3 linked regions of the Anolis sagrei genome follow. The protein of the gene in region 3 interacts with the protein of the main gene of each other region in a biochemical or structural test. Links are inferred from orthologs where the notes say so. Each region holds a gene or a part of one and is shown on either strand. Other genes may lie near its edges.

Region 1 (7,658 bases), on a different chromosome or scaffold from region 3:
CCCTCCCCACAAGCTTTGATCTTCATAACAAAACCATTTATGGTTCTTTCCCACAAATTTTGATGTTTGTACGAACTGAAAAGTAGACATCTTACATTACAGACACCCCACGCAACAGTGCATTCTTCAGAGGTAGCTGATGCTTGGTTAGCTTGACATTCTATGCCTGGAAGAACAAGATTAAATAGAAACATTGATTATTACTGAAACGATAACTGGTGATGAAATATCCACATTTTCTGTTAAATATAGATGTTTCGAGATAACAAAAGAGGCAGACACATGATGAAAAACAGAATTAAAGTATCATTAGACCCACTTCCCATTGGATGAGAGGAATCTGGATGTACCATTCACATGTAATCCTAGTTTATTTTTCTAGTTGATTAACTGATAGGTAACAGATTCCAACTATGGATGTACAGTGGGAAGAGGTGATGGAGGAGTACTTAGCACTAAATCCTGCTCTATAAACAAAGGTAGTTATGAAATCTCAAATCAGTCAAACCAGGCCATTGCCTAGAACTGTTTCATTATGCTCTGTACCTTCGAAGTTATCTAGAAATCTGTCTTAATAACACATTATCACACAGGATGGATCTTTTAATCTGATTCTGCATGACAATTTTTACATTAATGATCCCAGATGAAGAAGCAATTTTGTATATTGCAAGAACTGCAATGTAGACATGTAGATACTATCCCAAACAATATAGTTGTACTGAGCAACTACAATTGCAGTCACAATATTACATGAAAGAATGGCAAGTATGACCTCCTAATCCTCAGGTTCTTCATAGGAGGCCAGAAAACTAATTTAAGTTTATATTGCAAATATAGCCATAACTTAATGCACTAATTATTCCTCTGTAACTAAATTACTCCTCTAATCTTATATGTGTAGTTTAACTACACAATTCACCATTTCTTTTCGTTGTCAGAGAAACTGCAAGTCACTTCTGGTGTGAGAGAACTGGATGTTGCCCAGGAGATGCCCGGATGTTTTACCTTCCTGTGGGAGGCTTCTCTCATGTCCCTGCATGGGAAACTGGAGCTGACAGACAGGAGCTCACCCCACTCCCCGGGTTCAAACCATCAGCAGTCCTGTCGGCACAAGGGTTTAACTCATTGCGCCACCAGGGGCTTCTACAATTAATCGTGAATTGTTGAGACTGCTATGAAGTTATGTTTTCATCATCTTGCTCCTTTTTATTGTCATCCTCTGATATCCACAATAACTATATATACAGCACAAATATTCTGGAGGTACTTACACAGATCCATAATGTGGTTTCTGCAAATGGCACAGTTATCAACCACGATGTCCCAAGCCCAGAGTGCAACTGCATTCCACTAAAGAATGAAATTACAATTAATGCAATTTTTCTTTGTTACTTTTTTTTGCATCGCTGTTGAGCCTAGCAAAACACAAAATGAGGCTTCACATGAGTTTGTGAAACCATGGATAATAACAAACCCTGTTGAAATTAAGGACTTTTTTGGCCCAAGAAAACCATGCTAGAGGACCTAGAGAATTCCCAAAGAGAACATTATTTGTCAAATGTGGATAAATTTCCAAATAGCATTCTTATTGATGTAGAAGTTGTACTGTAAACAAGCCAGTTTAACTAATTTTTTTTAATGTGTGTTGTCTTCTTACCTGTCTGAACCTATCTCCCCTTACAAACCACCAAGGACGTTAAGATCATCCAGGGAGGCTCTGTTCTCAGTCCCACCACCTTCGCAGGCATGACAGGTGAAGATGAGAGACTGGCCTTCTCTGTGGTGTCTTCTCAGCTGTGGAACTTCCTCCCCAATGAAGTTAGGTTTGCCCTCTCCCTCCTTACCTTCCATAGAAAACTCAAAACCTGCTGTGGGATCAAGCATTTGAACAATGGCTGGAGCAACTGGGAAGATAACGTTTTACGTGACCACAATGAATGGAACTGGATTATGATTTGCAACTGGCAAAATGTTTTTAAATTAAAGCATCAGAGGATGCTTGCCATAGATAAAGGTGAAACGTCAGGAGAGAATGCCTCTAGAACAGTGGTTCTCAACCTGGAGTCCCCAGATGTTTTTGGCCTTCAACTCCCAGAAATCCTAACAGCTGCTAAACTGGCTGGGATTTCTGGGAGTTGTAGGCCAAAAACATCTGGGGACCCCAGGTTGAGAACCACTGCTCTAGAACATGGCCATATAAGCCTGAAAAAACCTACAACAACCCAATGTTTTTATTCCCGGTAATTGCCATGAACATAAATTCCATATTAACTTGAATTGTTATTTTGAAAAGCTTCCCTATTTTTAAAATTATCTTATCCCAAAAAAGTTGTTGCATTTCTGATTCTCAAGTTTTATTATTCTGCTGATAAAGAAGAATATTTCTGACTTGTGATGAAATATCCACATTTTCTGTCAAATATGGATATTTTCCCATAGTCTGGGAAATACTATACTAGAGAAATCTGTGATTTCCCGCCACATTGCGGTGCATCCCACCTTTGAAAACCAGAGGAGCACAAAGGCTCCCGCTCAAACATGTATCTCAACTGTAAACAAACCTTGGGAAACGAGGGCGCCAATGGAAAGCACTTTCATAGAATCAAAGAGTTGGAAGAGACCTCGTGGGTCATCCAGTCCAACCACCTAAAGAAGCAGGAATATTGCATTTAAATCACCCCTGACAGATGGCCATCCAGCCTCTGTTTAAAAGCTTCCAAAGAAGCTTCCTGTTCGGGTTCTAGGCGAGGTCTGGACCAAAGGAACGCGGCCCACTAAGCCTCCCCATCACTTTTCGCTTTCACCTCACATTCAACATGAAAGATGGTTTCCGGGGGAAAAATAACCCTTCCCCAGGCCCCGCTACGTCCGCCACCTTCTCAACCCCAAGGCCTCGCCTTTTTCCTCTCACCTTCTTCACTTCGAAACGCTTTTTGCCGGCGTTGCTGTTGGTCCCGCTTGGTGTGTCAACATCCATCGCGGCAGCCATTTTGGATACAACTCCCGGCAGACTTTCCAGAACTGCGCATGCGCACGCTCGGTAAAAAAAAAGGAAAAGAAAAAAAGAACAAAATCTCGCGATACTTCCTGAGAAGTTTGTTTATTTATTTATTTATATATATGGATGCCTCACCCCCGCCCCTCCTTACAAACAGGTGTGCGCGAGCGAGGGAGGGAGGGAGCGCGCGCGAGGGTAGGGTGGGGGACCCAAAGGGGGCGGGGCTTGGTCACGTGCCGCCCTTTCCTCTTAAAGGCGCTGCTCAGGGCGGAGGCCTTTCTGCAGGGCCGTGCGGCGTCGTCGTTGTCGTCGTCGTCTTTTTACTGCGCTCCAGTGAAAGGACGGGAGGGAGGGAGGGAGGGGGGGGGGAAAGGGGCGGAGCTCTGAGGAAGGTTATTTAAAGGGATACGCACCAATTACTCTTGTATGAAATGCTGGGGAAACACTTGAAAACACTGTGTCATAGAATATATCCATAGGAATAAACCTTGAGGGCTACACAAAATCCATTTGTGTCGAGAGGAATACATGTCATAATGATTTAGTCAGAATCAGTGTGCCCTCCCCCTCTTAATATGTATGTAAACACACCCTTCAACACCAAATAGCTTTACTTGAAGGCAACCTAAATGCGTGAGCTGTGGCTCTTCCTGGGATTCGTCTCCAGCCTGCTTTCCCTTCTTCCCTCCCATCTTCCTTAATTAGGATGACTAATCCTTGCTAAACCATCGTCGCTCCAGAATCCATTACTGGGCTTTTGTGTGGAGCGCCTCCTTCTCTCTTCCCCCCCCCCCCCCCCAATATCCAGAGCTTTGTCTTAATATTAATTTTATTTCCTCAGGAAAGGCGCATCTGCAGCGCTTAGTGAGGCCAGGACATCCCCTCAAACCAATTCTGTCCAAAGGAAGAGTCTCCATGCCTTGGAACTGGCATTGAGGCGTCAAAGACATACACAGATCCCTAGGCCTTGGGAAGGCCTTGGATTGGGATTCATCAGGCATGGGCCAACTTGGGCCCTCCAGGTGTTTTGGACTTCAACTCCCATCATTCCTAACAGCCTCAGGCCCCTTCCTTTCCCCCCTCAGCCGCTTAAGCGGCTGAGGGGGGAAAGGAAGGGGCCTGAGGCTGTTAGGAATGATGGGAGTTGAAGTCCAAAACACCTGGAGGGCTCAAGTTGGCCCATGCCTGGGATATATAATGTTAGGCGATCCCTCGTAGCTCAAGGATGATGGTCGTCCAGATGTCATGTCTTGGTGGTGGAGCCCTATTCTTGATCATCTTCTCCCACACTAAGGACATAATCTTTTCCAGGTGGAAAGCAGTCCTGGTCAGGGTTGGCTCGACGCGCCTTTTTCTTGGCACGTTTCTCCCTCCGTTCGTGCCTCTTCGAATTCTGCAGCACTGTTGGTTACAGCTGACCTCCAGTTAGAATATATCCATCTTGCCCTTGGTCGGCTCCTCTTCCTTTTTCCTTCCATTTTCCCCAGCATCATTGTCTTTCTAAGCTTTCCTTCTCATGATGTTGCCAAAGTACTTCATCTTTGCCACTACTATCCTTCCCTCCAATGAGCAGTCGGGCTTTATTTCCTGGAGGATGGACTGGTTGGATCTTCTTGCTCAAGGGCCAGTTCTTGGTGTCTATGCCATACTCTACGCCAGTGTTTCTCAACCTGGGGGTCGAGACCCCTGGGGGGGGGGGGGTTGTGAGGGGGTTTCAGAGCGGTCGCCAAAGACTATCAGAAAACTCAATATTGTCTGTTGGTCATGGGGGTTCTGTATGGGAAGTTTGCCCCAATTCTATCATTGGTGGGACACAGACTGTTCTTTGATTGTAGGTGAACTATAAATCCGAGCAACTACAACTCCCAAATGTCAAGGTCTATTTTCCCCAAATTCCATCAGTGTTCACATTTGGGCATATTGAGTATTCGTGTCAAGTTTGGTCCAGATCCATCGTTGTTTGAGTCCACAGTGCTCTCTGGATGTAAGTGAACTACAACTCCCAAACTCAAGGTCAATGCCCACCAAACCCTTCCAGTATTTTCTGTTGATCATGGGAAAATACATCCTGTATATCAGATATTTCCATTTTGATCCATAACAGTAGCAAAATTACAGTTATGAAGTAGCAATGAAAATAATTTTATGGTTGGGGGTCACCACAACATGAGGAACTGTATTAAGGGGTCATGGCATTAGGAGGGTTGAGAAACATTGCTCTATGCTCATCAGAGGGAACCAAACTTCTGAAGGACAAAAAATCAATTGCACTACGTTGGAAAGAACACTACCAAAGCCTCCTGAATCACAGCTCCAATGTGGACGAAGAGGTTCTCTCACAAATCCTGTAACAACAAACCAGGGATGAGCTCGCACTGCCAACTAGTTTGGAAGAAGTCAGCAATGCCATTGTTGTTGTTCATTCATTCAGTCGCTTCCGACTCTTCGTGACCTCATGGACCAGCCCACGCCAGAGCTCCCTGTCGGCCGTCACCACCCCCAACTCCTTCAAGGTCAAGTCAGTCACTTCAAGGATACCATCCATCCATCTTGCCCTTGGTCGGCTCCTCTTCCTTTTTCCTTCCGTTTTCCATAGCATCATTGTCTTCTCTAAGCTTTCCTTCTCATGATGTGGCCAAAGTACTTCATCTTTGCCACTACTATCCTTCCCTCCAATGAGCAGTCGGGCTTTATTTCCTGGAGGATAGACTGGTTGGATCTTCTCGCAGTCCAAGGCACTCTCAGAACTTTCCTCCAACACCACAGTTCAAAAGTATCTATCTTCCATCGCTCAGCCTTCCCTAAGGTCCAGTTCTCACACCCATAGGTGACTGGGGAATACCATTGCTTTTAGTATGCGGGTCTTCATTGCCAGTGTGCTGTCTCCACTCTTCACTATTTTATTGAGATTGGTCATTGTTAGCAATGCCATTAGCCAACAAAACAGTAACAAAGCCAGAAGATATATAGTGCCTCTGTACAAAAAGGGCATCTCAGGTCATGTCTTCAAGGTAGAATTAATGCCTTCAATGCTATGCCATGGTTCAATGCTATAATGTCATCGGAGCTATGGTTAAACAAGATCTTTATAACATTCCCTGCCAAATAGTGTTGGTGTGTGTCACCAAAGGGTCATTCCATGCCAAGTGGTCTAAACCTTCCCACCATCATGTCTCAAATTTTATTCAAATTTTAGCCATAGCACCAGTGAGGGGTTAAAACTTTCCCAAAATTTGAGGTCTCTAACTGCAATAGTTGCTGATCCAGACTCCCTTACCTGAAGGGTCGCCAGTCAGAGTGCGCATGACATTTAAGAAAATGCTATTTTTGGGGTCTAACAAAATTGAAATGAAAGGTATGTATGGCTTGTAAATTGGCTTGTAAATTGAAATCCTGCAGTTTTTGTTCTGCTGAGTTCGATGAAATTAATTTCAGTGTTATGGATGCAAAATCCAGTCAAACAAGTTGACTCAAAGTGTGCATCAAAATGTGTCAAGACTCATTTTGAAAAATTTGGCTTCTTGTGGAAGCAAGGATTGGTGGGAAAGCTTCAGTGAAGACACCTTTTTCCATAAGTTTTTTAGGAGTGAATTTGCCTTCTGAGGGATAGATTTCTCACTTCCTGTTGTCTCACTCCTGTTCTTAACTATGAGTCATTTGTAACTCTGGGACTGCCTGTACTTGCTTTTAAAAACTGCCCTTTAAGCCAAAGTTTCCTAACATCAGTTATCGGTAGGCACAGTAACACACTTACTGTACTATGTTAGCACTGGAAAATAAAAAGGAGTTATGTTTATTTTACAGACTTGACCTACTAACCAGAGGTATTAATGCTACACACGCTTACTTGAAAATTAAGCCTCCATTGAACTCAATGGATTTTTCTCTCTCTCAATATGGGCCTTCATGGTTGACTTCATCCATGCTTTCTCAGCATCTTATCCCAAAGACTGAATGCATAATATGATTCTTCCTTATTAAGATTTCTGTGGAAGATCCATTTCAAAAGCAAGAAATGTCAGTAGTCTATTTTAAAATTGTACAGTAAAAACCTTTTGAAATAAAATGTTTAAAAATATTATGCAAGTTTTAACATATAGGCATTCTGGTCTAATGGTAGGAACACAGAAATCTTAATTAGATTTTAAATCAGTCATCATAAGCCTTTAACAGTGATTTTGATTTAACATTTTTTTCTTCATGTTGCTTTTCAATTTCTTCATGCACTTTCTTCTTAAGTTGCCTTCCAAATGTGGAACAGTTCATAAATATATGTACAGATTAGGCTGCAAATCTATGCATTTACTTGTGAATTAGTCCTATTAAAATCAAGTGAGATTTCTGACTAAAAATGTATTGGATAGTAACTTGCTGCATCTGATATGGTTCTTCTGGCCTCTAACAGCAAGATGTGATGTTACAGCATCAGACAGCAATTTCGGAATTGATTTCTCTCTTTTACCTAGGTTATATGTAACTACCTTGTAGAAACTTTCATTGAAAGGTAGGATAAAAACATTTTAAATAAATCACTATAAATTGGGATTTGGAAAATAGAGAGTAAGGAAACATAGAAGACCAAAGAGGCCCTTCCATATCATTAACCAATGTAAATGTCTACCATGCCTAGATATTGTAAGTTGTTCCAGCAAATTAG
Region 2 (6,960 bases), on a different chromosome or scaffold from region 3:
CTAAAGTCACTAAATAACTTTCATTCTATCAAGTGGGATTAATACTTTTTTTCCTGAAAATTTCATTTTGAAGGGAAAAGCCCTTTTTTCCTGTGGCTTCACAATTTCTGGAAATTTTACATATCTGAATGGTTGCATAATTAAACAACACAAACAGAACAGAATACAATTGAATTTTGAGAAAATAATAAGAACCACTTTGAGTGTCTTTTTAGAGAGATAAAGTGGAATAATAATAATAATGACAATTCAAGATTACCTGCTTTGTCCAGACTCTTGGGAGCTTTCCTCACATTTATTTTTTTGGTTTGTGGCCCATTTTCTAGATCTTCACAGTCACGTTTTCTTTTCCTATTTGATTTCATCTCTTTTTCTGATGTACTTCCACATGTCCTGAGATGCTTCTTGTCTTTTGAATCTTTTCCAGGGGCCATTCTGTTCAAACACTGAAAGAGACCAAGGAGCAAAGAAGCATCATTGTCGCTGAACATTCAACATTTTATTTAAAGATATAAGGTAACATACATATGTTAAAAAGTAACACTAAAAGTGGATAGTGACAGATATAACACTTTCCTATGTCCAATTTTTTTTCTGGCTAGAGAGAAGGTGTAGAGGGATCCCTCATGCCCAACGACTTTGTATTTGTGGGTCAGGAGAAAGAGATGATGTAATACAGTATCTGTTACATTATCCTTTATATAATGACCCTAGAAACAATCTATACAAACAATCTAGACTCAAACCTTAGCTGATAACTAGGCCCCTTTAATATGAGTAATGGCTATATTTATTATATGAAGTCCAAGAAAATACACTTGTTTTGAATAATAAATATGAGACTCAAACCTTAGCTGATAACTAGGTCCCTTTAATATGAGTAATGGCTATATTTATTATATGAAGTCCAAAAAATACACTTGTTTTGAATAATAAATATGATTATAATGATTTAATCCAAATTATAAATTAATGTTGGGAGTATTTCAGATTTTGGAATTCTGGATATGGGATACTGAATCTGGATATGTGTGTGTGTGTATAGGTAGGCATTATTTGTTAAGAATTAAAGGACCAAGGCAGTGACATTTCCGGCCCATGCTGTTCAGATATCAGCACGCCAATGCCTTAAGAAATAGCTTTCTAAGATCTACAGAGATACTTGCAGGAACACCTCAGCAAGCGAGAGTCCAAAAGTGGCAGGCTAAAACCTGGAACCTCAACCCATGGCTGATGCTGGATGAGAGACTCCCCCTTGGGCACACAGAAGACTGGGCAACTTGGAAGGAGCTCAACAAACTGCACTTTGGCACGAGATGCAGAGCCAACATTAAGAAATGGGGCCACAAAGTGGAGTCCACAACATGCAAGTGTGGAGAAGAGCAAACCCCAGGCTACCTATTACAATGCAACCTGAGCACAATGGAGGACTTTCTTATAGCAACACCAGAGGCACTCCAAGTGGCCAGCTACTGGTCAAAGGACATTTAGTATAATGCCAAGTTTTTAACACTTTGTGTTTTTGAAAATATTACAACTGTACCCTCGGTTTGTTTCTGATATGATAAATAAAAAATAAATTTGCTAAGAATTTATTTTCCCTCAGAATGATAAATTTTGAGAGAACACTGGCTTTGAGGCTGTCAAAGAATAAAGCTTTTAAGACAGAGCCAGTGTGTGTGTGCGTTGTGTGATTTTTTTTTGTATTTTCAAATAGGCATTATTGGTTTGAACTGTTTATTTTTACATCATCTTAGGTTTAAATCTAGTTTTTATAATAGCCTTGAGGTTTGAAATCGTCTAGGTTTCATTCAGCCCTGTTTGCTGCTTTCAAGTCTCTTTGAAAGAGAAAAAGCATGCAATAATTATAACAGTGTGATTATTATGATTTCCCAAATATATCCAAACTGGAAGTACATCATCTTCAAAGTGTGGTGAGGTAAGATCTCTAGTGTCTGTTCCCAACAACAACGTACTGTGACTGTCATGATAGCCTAGGCATGGGCAAGCTTGGGCCCTCCAGGTATTTTGGACTTCAACTCCCACAATTCCTAACAGCGATAGGTACAAAACTGCATAAATTCAATTGTGCAGATCAGTATTTTCCAATCTTGGGCCTCTAGGTGTTTTGGACTTCAACTCCCACAATTCCTAACAGCTGATAGGTACAAAACTACATAAATTCAATTGTGTAGATTAGTATTTTCCAACCTTGGCCCTCCAGGTGTTTTGGACTTCAACACCCAGAAATCCCAGCCAGCTTACCAGCTGTTAGGAATTGTGGGAATTGAAGTCCAAAACACCTGGAGGGCCCAAGTTTGCCCATGCCTGGAGATAGCCTGAAGGGAACAAAAACAAAATAAAGTGAGTACATAAGTAAGTACATAACCAAAAGTGCATGAGCGAAAGGTCGCAGGTTCGAATCCAGAGAATGAGGTGAGCTCCCGCTGTTAGCCCCAGCTTCTGCCAACCTAGAAGTTCGAAAACATGCAAATGCCAGTGGATCAATATGTTATTGCTTTGGAGGGAAGGCAACGATGCTCCATGCTGTCATGCTGGCCACATGAACTTGGAAGTGTCTACGGACAAGTGTCGGCTTAGACATGGAGATGAGCACCAACCCCCAGAGAGGGGCACGACTGGACTTAAGGTCAGGGGGGAAAACCTTTACCTTTACCTTTTACATAACTTCCAAATAGTGGGGAAATGGGATCTGTCTCTCTCGCCTTCACATGCACGCCTGAAGGCTCCCCTCAGACTTCAAATAAGGAAAGAGGGAGGGCTTTTCCTACGGCTTTTCCCCACTGAGAGCCCCCTCAAGAAAGCCCGGAGGCGAGGCCTCCCTCCTCGGGGCGGGGCCTACTGAAGGCCATGTAAAATGAAAGGTCTGCTCACCTCACCCGCGGCCTCCTTCGCCGCCTCCTCAGGCGCTTGTGTTTCCCTGAAAGGCGCGGGAAAGAAGCGCCTCCTTGGGAGTTTCATAACAAGACTTTTTGTTTGTTTGTGAGGCGGAAGAGGAGGAGGAGGAGGAGCCACAGGGCGCGGAAGTCTTGAGGCGGGCGAGGCCTACAGCAGGCCTGGGCCAACTTGGGCCCTCCTTCCAGGTGTTTTGGACTCCAACTCCCACCATTCCTAACAGCCTCAGGCCCCTCACGCTTAAGCGGCTGAGGGGGAAAAGGAAGGGGCCTGAGGCTGTTAGGAATGGTGGGAGTTGGAGTCCAAAACACCTGGAAGGAGGGCCCAACTTGGCCCAGGCCTGCTCTAGGCCAACTTATGGTGATCCCATAACATTCATCAGCTTTTCTTAGGCAAGGAGTACTCCAGAGGTGGTTTTGCTAGTCCCTTCCTCTGAAATAGAGCCCACAGGACCCATTGTGTGTTGGTTGTCTCCCCTCCAAGGACTAACCAGGGCTGAATCCGCTTAGTTTCCAACATCAAATGGGATGTGGTGCCTTTTAAAGTATGTGGGCTCTGTACTGGTGGCTCTCCATAGTAAAAAAGTTGGCACCTATTTATTATTTACTAGCTGTCTCCATTTAGCTTACTATTCACAAAACCATACACACACACACACATATATACACACACAAATATATACACACATATTCACACACAAAGCACATATACACAGACTGGGCCACAGCAATGCGTGTCAGGGAATGGCTAGTCTATATAAATAAAAATGAAATGTTCGTTTGTGGGATTAACATAACTCAAAAACCACTGGACGAATTCACACCAAATTTGGATGCAATACACGTATCAGGCCAACGAGTGACCATCACTCATAAAACACTGAAAAATACAGCAAAAAAATATTACATTACAACACATGCACAAAACCGCACACACACACATATATATACGCACGAACACATATATACATATATACAAATATATACGTGTATATATGCATGCACAAAACCACATATATACAAATATGCACATATATTCACACACAAAGCACATATACACAGACTGAGCCACATTACAATGCATGCTGGATAATAAGGAGGGATTAAGGAAAATGTCTTTTAAATGTCAAATTATTTATTTTTTATTTATTTATGTTGGGCATTTCTATCCCATCCTTTTCACCTCCACAGAGGGACACAGGATAGTTTACAGCGGGCATTAGATGCCAAAAAAAACCCCAATACATTAAAACACACAGTTACAAGTAATAATTAAAACATAAGCATTCGATCAAAAACCTTATGATTTAACAACTTAAGCACCAAACATCATGTTTTACAACAAATTGACAAAAAAGCAGTTCAATACACAGTAATGTTATGTAGTAATTACTGTGTTTATAAATTTAGCACCAAAACATTGCAATGTATTGAAACAGTTGTGGATCCAGGCGGGCGGCAGACTGCATTGGATAATACAGGACGTTGGATGACTGAAGGTTGGATAAGCGAGATTCCACTGCACCACTTTTCTCACCTCTGGGGGACTCAAAGCAATTTACACAAAAATAACGGCAAAATTAAATTCCATACATAAATAAATCAAATCACAAATCAACACCATATAACTAAGCATAACATCAATAGGACAATTCACCATAAGATAAAAGGACATTTAAAACATGAAATATAAGAATTAAAACACCTAATAAAACATTTAAATCACATGATCCACGCACGTAGACGGCCATTCCAGATGTCGATTGCACATATTCCATATTGCTTCTTGTACTGCGTTATTTTACTAGTCAAAAGCTTGGTTCCATAACCATATCTTTGCTCTCTTTCTAAAGGACGGGAGGAAGGGTGCTGATCTAATCTCACTGGGGAGACAGTTCCAGAGCTGAGGAGCCACCACTAAGAAGCCCCTGTTCTCTCGTCCACACCAACCGTACTTGTGAAGCAGGTGGGACCGAGAGCAGCGCCTCCCCAGAAGATCTTAACCACCTTGATGGTTCATAGAGGGAGATGCGTTCGGATAGGTAAGCTGGGCCAGAACCATTTAGGGCTTTACAGGCTAAAGCCAGCACTTTGAATTGTGCTCGGTAGCAGATTGGCAGCCAGTGGAGCTGACATAATAGGGGAGTTGTGTGCTCCCTACAGATTCAGTTATGCACAGATTGAAAATAAATATTTTTAAAACTCAAAAAGCAACTCTATTTTGCCATTTTCTATAGGAGACACAATTTAACTATGCCGTTGTATACAATAAGAGTTGATCATCTGTGGATTTTGGTATCTATGATGGGATCATGGAACAAACAGCAGATACCAAGGACGTATTGTGTTATATTTAGGATATATAGCAACAAATGTGACACTATATCAACTATGGGATCCACTACTTTGTTGCTATAGGGCCTAAATGTAGTAGGTCCTTGGTATCTGCTGGTATTTGTTCCATGGCTCCTTCATAGATACCAAAACCCATGGATACTCAACTCCTATTGTATATAATAGTGTGGTGAACTCATAAATATACAGCATATTCGTGTCAATATTCTGCCATGTGTATTGACTATTGTTGTAATGGTATTCTCATTTTTTTAAAAATATTCCCCATGCCCTATGTCTTTTCCTAGAAAAGGAAATGCCATTAGAGCAATAAGTCAATATACATAATGTATTTGTGATACCAGTTCATGGCGATCACTTCTCAATATCAGTCAACAGACTGTATTTGTTCATCTAAAGCTACTATTTTTATGGAAAGTTCAAAGTTAGTATAGATTAATGTAAGGCTACCTCCCCAATGAAAAAGCATATCAAGAGGAAAGAAAGGCTTTGTTCCTTAAGAAAGAGGTTTAGATGGGCAAACAATGAAATACCTTACAGGTTGAGGTGATGCAGTTCGAAAAGAATTACATCCTGTAATTCAAATCCTGGTTGTGTTTAATTCTTGGCTTCTTCGTGCAGGTGGGACTTTTCTGCCAATTTCTTACATAGAAGTTTTGCTATGGATTTCAGCACTTGAGAATTTCTGCCTTCTGAATCTTGAGGCATCTCCAGATGCTCAAAATCTGGGACAAGTAATTGATTACCTCCACTACTAACTCTTTTCCTCCTCCCCCCATCCTGCCCTGTATGATTCCAGAGTTCTGGTGCACAACTCAGCAAGGAAATAGTGGGGAAATCTGCATTCTCTGGATGCTGCCAAGCAGCAGATGCTGCAGATTCTGGAACCAGTTCAAGGTCACATTTTATGGTTAATATAATCACCTTCCTGGCCTCAAACCTGTTCTAGAATGGCCAGTCTCATTGTCCGTACAACAAAATTAGTTCCAAACCAAACTAAGTGGTTAGTGTACATGAGCCCCAGTTTAAATAATAACGGCAACAATATATTTAATTTGTTACCTGCCTCTTCCTATGGTTTGAGACAGGCACAACACTAACACATCATCATAAAATATATTCAACAAAATGCATATATTAAAACACAACTCTATAAAATACACATATTTAAATACATGGAGCAAAGATTAAAATATAATCGTCATGGAATGTAAATTTTAAAATTAATAGTTAAAATTGACTAGATAGGCCTGTTGTTAGAGATAGGTCTACAGTTGTATCTTGAATTCTGACAGCTGATTTAGCTGTCAAATCTCTTTCTGCAGATCATTTCAGTCTTGGAGAAGCCAGTTATAAAGCCCTGTGGTTTTAAGTTACAGGAGGGTAGATTTTGAAACTAATTGCCTAGATAGGTGGCTAGGTTTCTTCTCTGGATGTCTTCAAAAAGTTGGAGAGCCTGCACTGAGCAAGGAATTGGACTGGATGGCATATGAGGCGCCTTCAAATTCTTTGATTCTATAGTTCTTGTGCACACATAATTATTATACAAGTTATACCTTGAGAAGCCAGACTTGGCCACGGTGGTCCACACTCTCATTACATCTCAAATAGACTACTACAACATGCTCCGCATGGGTTTGCCTTTGAATACTGTTCAGAAGCCTCAAATAGTCCAACGGGCATCAGCCAG
Region 3 (7,286 bases):
TGCGTGTGCGTGTGCGGCGGCTGGGGGAGTGGGGTTGCGTGTGTGTGTGCGGAGGCGGGGGGAGTGATGGAGCGTGGGGTTGCGTGTGTGTGTGCGGCAGCGGGGGGGGGTTGCGTGTGTGTGTGTGCGGCTGCCGGGGGAGTGATGGAGCGTGGGGTTGTGTGTGTGTGTGCGGCTGCCGGGGGAGTGATGGAGCGTGGGGTTGCGTGTGTGTGTGCGGCTCCCGGGGCAGTGATGGAGCGTGGGGTTGCGTGTGTGTGTGCGGCGGCGGGGGGAGTGATGGAGCGTGTGGTTGTGTGTGTGCATGCGGCAGGGGATGTGTGTGTGCGGGAAGCGGCGCGCCGGTGCTTGGAGTGGGCATGGCTTCTGCAGAGGGAACGTTGGCCGGAAGGCTGTGTGCATGCCCAAGGAACTTGCGGCTGGGCGCCAATGCGCATGCTCAGTTGTTTTGCCATATTGTGAGTGTGTTGTTGTGTTGTTTTTCATTTTGAGTAGATATGTTTGTACCTTGTTGGTTGTGTTATGGGCATGGGAATTTTGGTTAAGTTTTGTTGGGTTTTTTTAGTTTTGTTGTTTTGCCGTTTTGTGAGTGTGTTGTTGTGTTGTTTTTCATTTTGAGTAGATATGTTTGTACCTTGTGGGTTGTGTTATCGGCATGGGAATTTTGGTTAAGTTCCGCTGGGGGGTTGTGGAGTTTTGTTGTTTTGCCGTTTTGTGAGTGTGTTGTTTTTCATTTTGAGTAGATATGTTTGTACCTTGTGGGTTGTGTTATGGGCATGGGAATTTTGGTTAAGTTTCATTGGGTTTTTTTAGTTTTGTTGTTTTGCCGTTTTGTGAGTGTGTTGTTGTGTTGTTTTTCATTTTGAGTAGATATGTTTGTACCTTGTGGGTTGTGTTATGGGCATGGGAATTTTGGTTAAGTTTCGTTGGGGTTTTTTTGAGTTTTGCTGTCCCGTTGAACCAACCTAACAGATTTATATATATAGATTATGTATGTATGCATGTATTTATTTGTTTGTATTGAATACTAGCCGTCCCCTGCTATGCGTTGCTGTGGCCCAGTCTGGTGATCTGGAAAATAAAGTAACGAGAAAGTGTTGGTTTCTAATATATATAATTTCTTGATGCTTGTGGGTAAATAGTATTTCTTGCTGTTTCTTCGTCAGTGTTGATGTGGAGATTGTCTGGTTTGCCTACTCAACATGCAACATATCATTGTCCTTTCAAATCTATGATATTATATCTCTGTGTCTGTGAATCATATCTATCTATTAATATCTATGGCTGGATGGCTCTTTGTCAGGAGGGCTTTGATTATGTTTCCTTGCCCTGGTGAAGGGAGTTGGAATGGATGGCCTTAAGTATTTTCTGTTGGTCATGGGGGTTCTGTGTGGGAAGTTTGGCCCAATTCTGTCATTAGTGGGGTTCAGAACACTCTTTGATTGTAGGTGAACTATAAATCCCAGTAACTACAATTCCCAAATGTCAAGGTCTATTTCCCCCAAACTCCATCTGTGTTCATATTTGGACATATGGAATATCTGTGCCAAGTTTGGTCCATATCAGGCATGTAGCCGGGGGGGGGGGGGGGGGCTTGAGGGGCTTCAGCCCCCCCCCCCCCCCACGAAATTCTCATGGTGGTTCGCGAAAAGGCCTTACTGGTGCATTATTTAAACTGTTATGTTTATTCATATCATGATCTGATCACCATACTCAATATATCCCATATGCATGGGGGTATTGGGGTAATGGTTTGCTAGGCTAGACCCTCTTTCACTCAGACTCAGCCCCCCCCCCGAAACCCCCCTGAAAAAAAATCAGCCCCCCCCCCCCCGAAACGAAATCCTGGCTACGGGCCTGGTCCAGGTCCATCATTGTTTGAGTCCACAGTGCTCTCTGGATGTAGAAGAACTACAACTCCCAAACTCAAGGTCAATGCCCACCAAAGCCTTCTAGTGTTTTCTGTTGGTCATGGGAGTCCTGTGTTCCACGTTTGGTTCAATTCCATCGTTGGTGGTGTTCGGAATGCTCTTTGATTGTAGGTGAACTATAAATTCCATCAACTACAACTCCCAAATGACAAAATCAATTTTTTTAGTGGTTGTCACTCCTTGGGTTAGTAGGTGTCTTGTAGCCAAATTTGGTGGCAATTCGTCCAACGGTTTTGGAGTTATGTTAATCCCACAAACGAACATTACATTTTTATTTATATAGACTTGCCATTTATGAGACTACTGTCTAAAACAGGCATGGCCCAACTTGGGGGTCCTTCAGGTGTTTTGGACTTCAACTCCCATAATTCCTAACAGCAGGTTGGCTGTTAGAAATTGTGGGGGTTGAAGTCCAAAACACCTGGAGGGCCCAAGTTTTGCCTGGTCTAAAAGGTGTCCCCAAAGTTACCACACCTGATCTATGGGTATAAGAGGACTTTGTTCAGTCTTCCTCAAACAGAGACTTTCAGGACACCTTGTACTCCAAAGTCCTGCCTACTCTGTGGCCAGGCTCCACCTGTCGTGTTGAGAATGGTGCAGAAGGCCCCATTTCGCCCCCTCCCCCAAAAAGAGGTGTCAAGAGTTCTCCACAGCTTTTGGAGGCCTTGCCCTTCCTGAGGGGAGAAGGGCCGGAGGACGGCGAGCGGAGGAATGCCGAGGCTGAGCTCAGCAGTAGGGCAGCCCGGGGCCCACACCCACCTCGGAAGTTTTTGATGACCAGCTTCTTGGAGGTGGCGGCGCCGCTGCGGCCCCCGGCCAGGGAGGCGGCCTTGGTGAGCCCGTTGGTGTGCCCCACCAAGGCCGACAAGTGCCGCTGCTGCTGCTGCTTCCTCTGGGGCTCGCCGGCCATTTTCGGGGCTCAGTGGCCCTGGGGTCCTCCCTCCCGTCCGGCCCTGGGCCTCCGGGAAGCAACCAGGCGCATCTCCTCAGGGCCGGAGAAGGAAGGGAAGCAGGCGGGCAGGCAGGCCTTCGCGGGGAGGAGGGAGAGAGAGAGGCCGTCCTTCGCGGCGCCTCACAAAATGGCTCCTCCCCCTCCTCCTTCGCTGGAAGGAGGGATCACGGCGGGACAGAGCGGGCGCCTCCTACACGGTGGGACTGACGCGCCTTGGCACCGCTTGGAATCTACTGAATCCTGGGAGTCGCCGCCGCCGCTTGCTGTCTTCGGCAGAGGAGGCTAAAGAATAAAACCCCACAATATCTGCTTTGAACTGGAATATATGGCAGTGTGGACTCAGCCCCCTTCCACACAGCTCTATATCCCAGAATATCATGGCAGAAAATCCCACAATATCTGCTTTGAACTGGGTTATCTGAGTCCACACTCAGATAATGTGGGATTTTCTATTTAGTTATTCTGAAATATAGGGCTGTGTGGAAGGGACCCCAGAATATCAGGGCAGGAAATCCCAACTTATCTGAGTGTGGACTCAGATAACCCGGTTCAAAGCAGATATTGTGGGATTTTCTGCCTTGATATTCTGAGATACAGGGCTGTGTGGAAGGACCCCCAGAATATCAGGGCAGGAAATATAATAATAATAATAATAATAATAATAATAATAATAATAAAAATAAAATGAAAATGAACAAAATCTGGCTACCAGTATTAAAAAAACTCTAAAATTACAACAGCACAAGAACAGAGAGGAAACAAACAAGGGCATCTAATTACCTCTCAACAAAAGTTTGCTCCAGGCACTGTCAGGCCATTATATGCTAATCAAGGTAGTCAGTTGAAACATTCACACCTAGCTCCAGCAGACAAGAGTACTTTGTCCCACCCTGGTCATTCCACAGATATATAAACCCTTTTTCCTAGTTCCAACAGACCTCACTACCTCTGAGGATGCTTGCCATAGATGCAGGCGAAACGTCAGGAGAGAATGCCTTTAGAACATGGCCATATAGGCCGAAAAAACCTACAACAATCCAGTGATTCCGGCCATGAAAGCCTTAGACAGTAATAATAAAACTTTATTTATACCCTGCTACCATCTCCCCAAGGGACTCGGTGCGGCTTACATGAGGCCAAGCCCACAGTACATCAATAAACAAAAGCAATAACAAACAAAAGCAATACAATTAATATAAAACACATAACAAAAAAAATAAATCAACAGTAACACACAAGTATTTAAAACCAATGGCCAGGCCAAATGTAATAGATTAAAATTAAAAATAATGCTGGACATGGACAAGGTGGGATATAACTGGGTAGAATTTTCAAGGAGAGATGAAGGAACGCAGTCAGTCCTAAATCAATGGTAAAGTGCATTTTGAGGGCAGATTGCTGAGGATTTTCCATATTATGGGAAGGCACACTGGAACAACCACGTTTTCAGGCTCCTCCTAAAGTCTGCCAGAGTTGGGACATGTCTGATGTCCTTGGGAAGTGAGTTCCAGAGTTGGGGGGCCGCCATCGAGAAGGCCCTCTCCCTCATGCAAAGGAGGATATCCCATTTTATCTGAGTGTGGACTCAGATAACCCACTTCAAAGCAGATATTGTGGGATTTTCTGCCTTGATATTCTGAGATACAGAGCTGTGTGGAATATCAAGGCAGGAAATCCCACATTATCTGCTTTGTACTGGGGGCCCTTTGACACAGCCCTATATCCCAGAATATCAAGGAAGAAAATCCCACATTATCTGCTTTGAACTGGAATGTATGGCAATGTGAACTCAGATAACCCAGTTCAAGTAAGAAAATGTGGGATTTTCAGCCTTGACATTCTGAGGGCCCTTCCACACAGCCATATATCCCAGAATATCAAGGCAGAAAATCCCACAATATCTGAGTGTGGACTCAGAAAACCCAGTTCAAAGCAGATATTGTGGGATTTCCTGCCTTGAGATTCTGGGATGTAGGGCTGTATGGAAGGGCCCTGAGTTGTCTGAGTCCACACTCAGATAATGTGAGATTTTGTGCCTTGATATTCTAGGATATAGGGCTATGTGGAAGGGCCCCCAGAAAGCAAGCTTGCCTTGATCTCAGCCACCCATGTGGAAGGGGATATCGAACAGGAGTCAATAAAGGGATACCCTCAACCAGTTTTGAAGATAAATGGGTTCAAGCCCAGAAAACATATGTTGCCGCAATAGATCTGTTAGTTAGAAACCCAAAAACCACAGCTGCCTGTCATTGGATCTGCTGGAATTTGTTCTTTAAATCCCCTGGAAAGCTTATAATGCTCCTCAAATGGAGATGCCCTGGGAGGCACATGGCCTTGGGAACAAACCTGTTGAGCAAATATGATTCTAGAGCGTGTCACATTTATTGCTTTTGGTTTAAAGGTCAAAGCAAAAAAAAAACAAACCCAACAAAAATATAAACAAAGGTATACCCAGTAGATTTTACTCTCTAAATTGGCATCAATTGATTATTTGAATGTGTTATGCTTTCTATTAGTTTTATGTTTGCTTTAAACTTATGTGCTTTAACTGGTTTTATGTGTTTTTAGTTATATGTTGTATTTTAATTCTATGTTGTACTCTACTTTGAGCCTTAATGAGATATGGGTTAGAAATAAGTTGTGTCAAAATGGGTTGCTGTGAGCTTTCCTGGGCTGTATGGCCATGTTCCAGAAGCATTCTTCCCTGGCATTTTGCCCACATCAATGACAGGCAAGCTCAGAGGTTGTGAGGTCTGTTGGAAACTAGGCAAGTGGGGTTTATGTATCTGTGGAATGGCCAGGTTGGGATAAAGAACTCTTGCCTGCTTTAGGCAAGTGTGCATGTTGCAATTGGCCAGCTTGATTATTACTGAATGGCCTTGCAGCTTCAAATAAGTTGCTGTTATTGAAATTCAATGTGCTTGGGATTATTTTGGGGAGGGGCTTTGCTAAAGGTCCTTGAATAAAAGCAAGAAAATTACAATGAGGCAGTTTCCAGGCTGATCCTGTTTAAGGTAAACAGGCAATTTTGAGTCAACAGGTTTTTCATAAGATTTTGGCATAAATCCAGCTGGGTGGTTGTAGTTTTTTTGGCAATAAAGCCATGTTCTAGAAGCATTCTCTCCTGATGTTTTGCCTGCATCTGTGGTAGGCATCCTCAGAGGTTGTGAGATCCTCACAACCTTTGAGGATGCAGGTGAAACGTCAGGAGAGAATGCTTCTAGAACATGGCCATACAGCCCAAAAAACCTGCAACAACCCAGTGATTCAGTCCATGAAAGCCTTTGACAATACATTAAACCCATCTGTTATTCACAAAAGGCACCAGATTCCCATCAGAACTTGGAAGCTAAGCAAATTCAGCCCTGGTTAGTACTTCGACAGGAGAGTGCCAACAAATCCTAGGTGCTGTGGGCTATATTTCAGAGGAAGGAATTGGCAAAGCCACCTCTGAGCAAAACTACAACTCCCATAATTCCGTAGCATTGTGCATTAGCAATTAAAGTGGTGCCGAACTGTCTTTAAATCTACATTGCAGATGCATCCTAGATCTCACCCAATACTTATTTATTTATTTACGACATTTATATGCCGCCCTTCTCACCCCAAGGGGGACTCAAGAGTGGCTTACAAAATATAAATACATATGTATTGTTGAAGGCTTTCATGGCTGGAATCACTAGGTTCTTGTAGGTTTTTTCGGGCTATAGGGCCATTTCTCCTGACGTTTCGCCTGCATCTATGGCAAGCATCCTCAGAGGTAGTGAGGTCTGTTGGAAATAGGAAAATGGGTTTATATATCTGTGGAATGACTGGGGTGGGGCAAAGAGCTCTCTGCTGAAACTAGGTGTGAATGTTTCAGCAATATATTATTAGCATAGTACTTCAGGAAATACTTCAGGAAATAATGCCCGACTGCTCATTGGAGGGAAGGATAGTAGAGGTCAAGATTAAGTATTTTGGCCACATCACAAGAAGAAAGGAAAGCTTAGAGAAGACAATTATGCTGGGGAAGATGGAAGGAAAAAGGAAGAGGGGCTGACCAAGGGCAAGATGGATGGATGGTATCCTTGAAGTGACTGGCTTGACTCTGAAGGAGCTGGGGGTGGTGACGGCCGACAGGGAGCTCTGGCGTGGTCTAGTCCAGGAGGTCACGAAGAGTCGGAAACGACTGAACAAATGAACAACACAAGATCAATATTAAATATTACTATATTGTACTATACCATTATATTGTAATATTATTAGTAAAATTACATATAATAATAATAATAAATTATTATTATTATTATTATTATTATTATTATTATTATATTGCATTGGAGCCCCTGGTGGCGCAGTGGGTTAAACCCCTGTGCCAGCAGGACTGAAGACCGACAGATCGCAGGTTTGAATCCGGGGAG

What was found.
Region 1: the proteins of CUL4A (region 3) and RBX1 form a complex in vitro, tested with the Homo sapiens proteins (6 studies listed by BioGRID, with this or other methods). The link is inferred for Anolis sagrei from reciprocal best matches to the Homo sapiens genes CUL4A and RBX1.
Region 2: the proteins of CUL4A (region 3) and DDB2 form a complex in vitro, tested with the Homo sapiens proteins (2 studies listed by BioGRID, with this or other methods). The link is inferred for Anolis sagrei from reciprocal best matches to the Homo sapiens genes CUL4A and DDB2.

The regions. Positions count from the first base shown.
Region 1 is NC_090025.1:161,877,893-161,885,550, forward strand, and holds the start of RBX1 (E3 ubiquitin-protein ligase RBX1), read right to left. Parts: upstream 3,030-7,658; 5' UTR 2,993-3,029; coding exon 2,915-2,992; intron 1,354-2,914; coding exon 1,275-1,353; intron 167-1,274; coding exon 96-166; intron 1-95. UniProt on the Homo sapiens protein: E3 ubiquitin ligase component of multiple cullin-RING-based E3 ubiquitin-protein ligase (CRLs) complexes which mediate the ubiquitination and subsequent proteasomal degradation of target proteins, including proteins involved in cell cycle progression, signal transduction, transcription and transcription-coupled nucleotide excision repair.
Region 2 is NC_090021.1:279,746,789-279,753,748, reverse strand, and holds the start of DDB2 (DNA damage-binding protein 2), read right to left. Parts: upstream 3,030-6,960; 5' UTR 2,983-3,029; coding exon 2,896-2,982; intron 2,781-2,895; exon of another isoform or gene 2,678-2,780; intron 447-2,677; coding exon 260-446; intron 1-259.
Region 3 is NC_090023.1:108,629,683-108,636,968, forward strand, and holds the start of CUL4A (cullin-4A), read right to left. Parts: upstream 3,026-7,286; 5' UTR 2,842-3,025; coding exon 2,691-2,841; intron 1-2,690. UniProt on the Homo sapiens protein: Core component of multiple cullin-RING-based E3 ubiquitin-protein ligase complexes which mediate the ubiquitination of target proteins. As a scaffold protein may contribute to catalysis through positioning of the substrate and the ubiquitin-conjugating enzyme.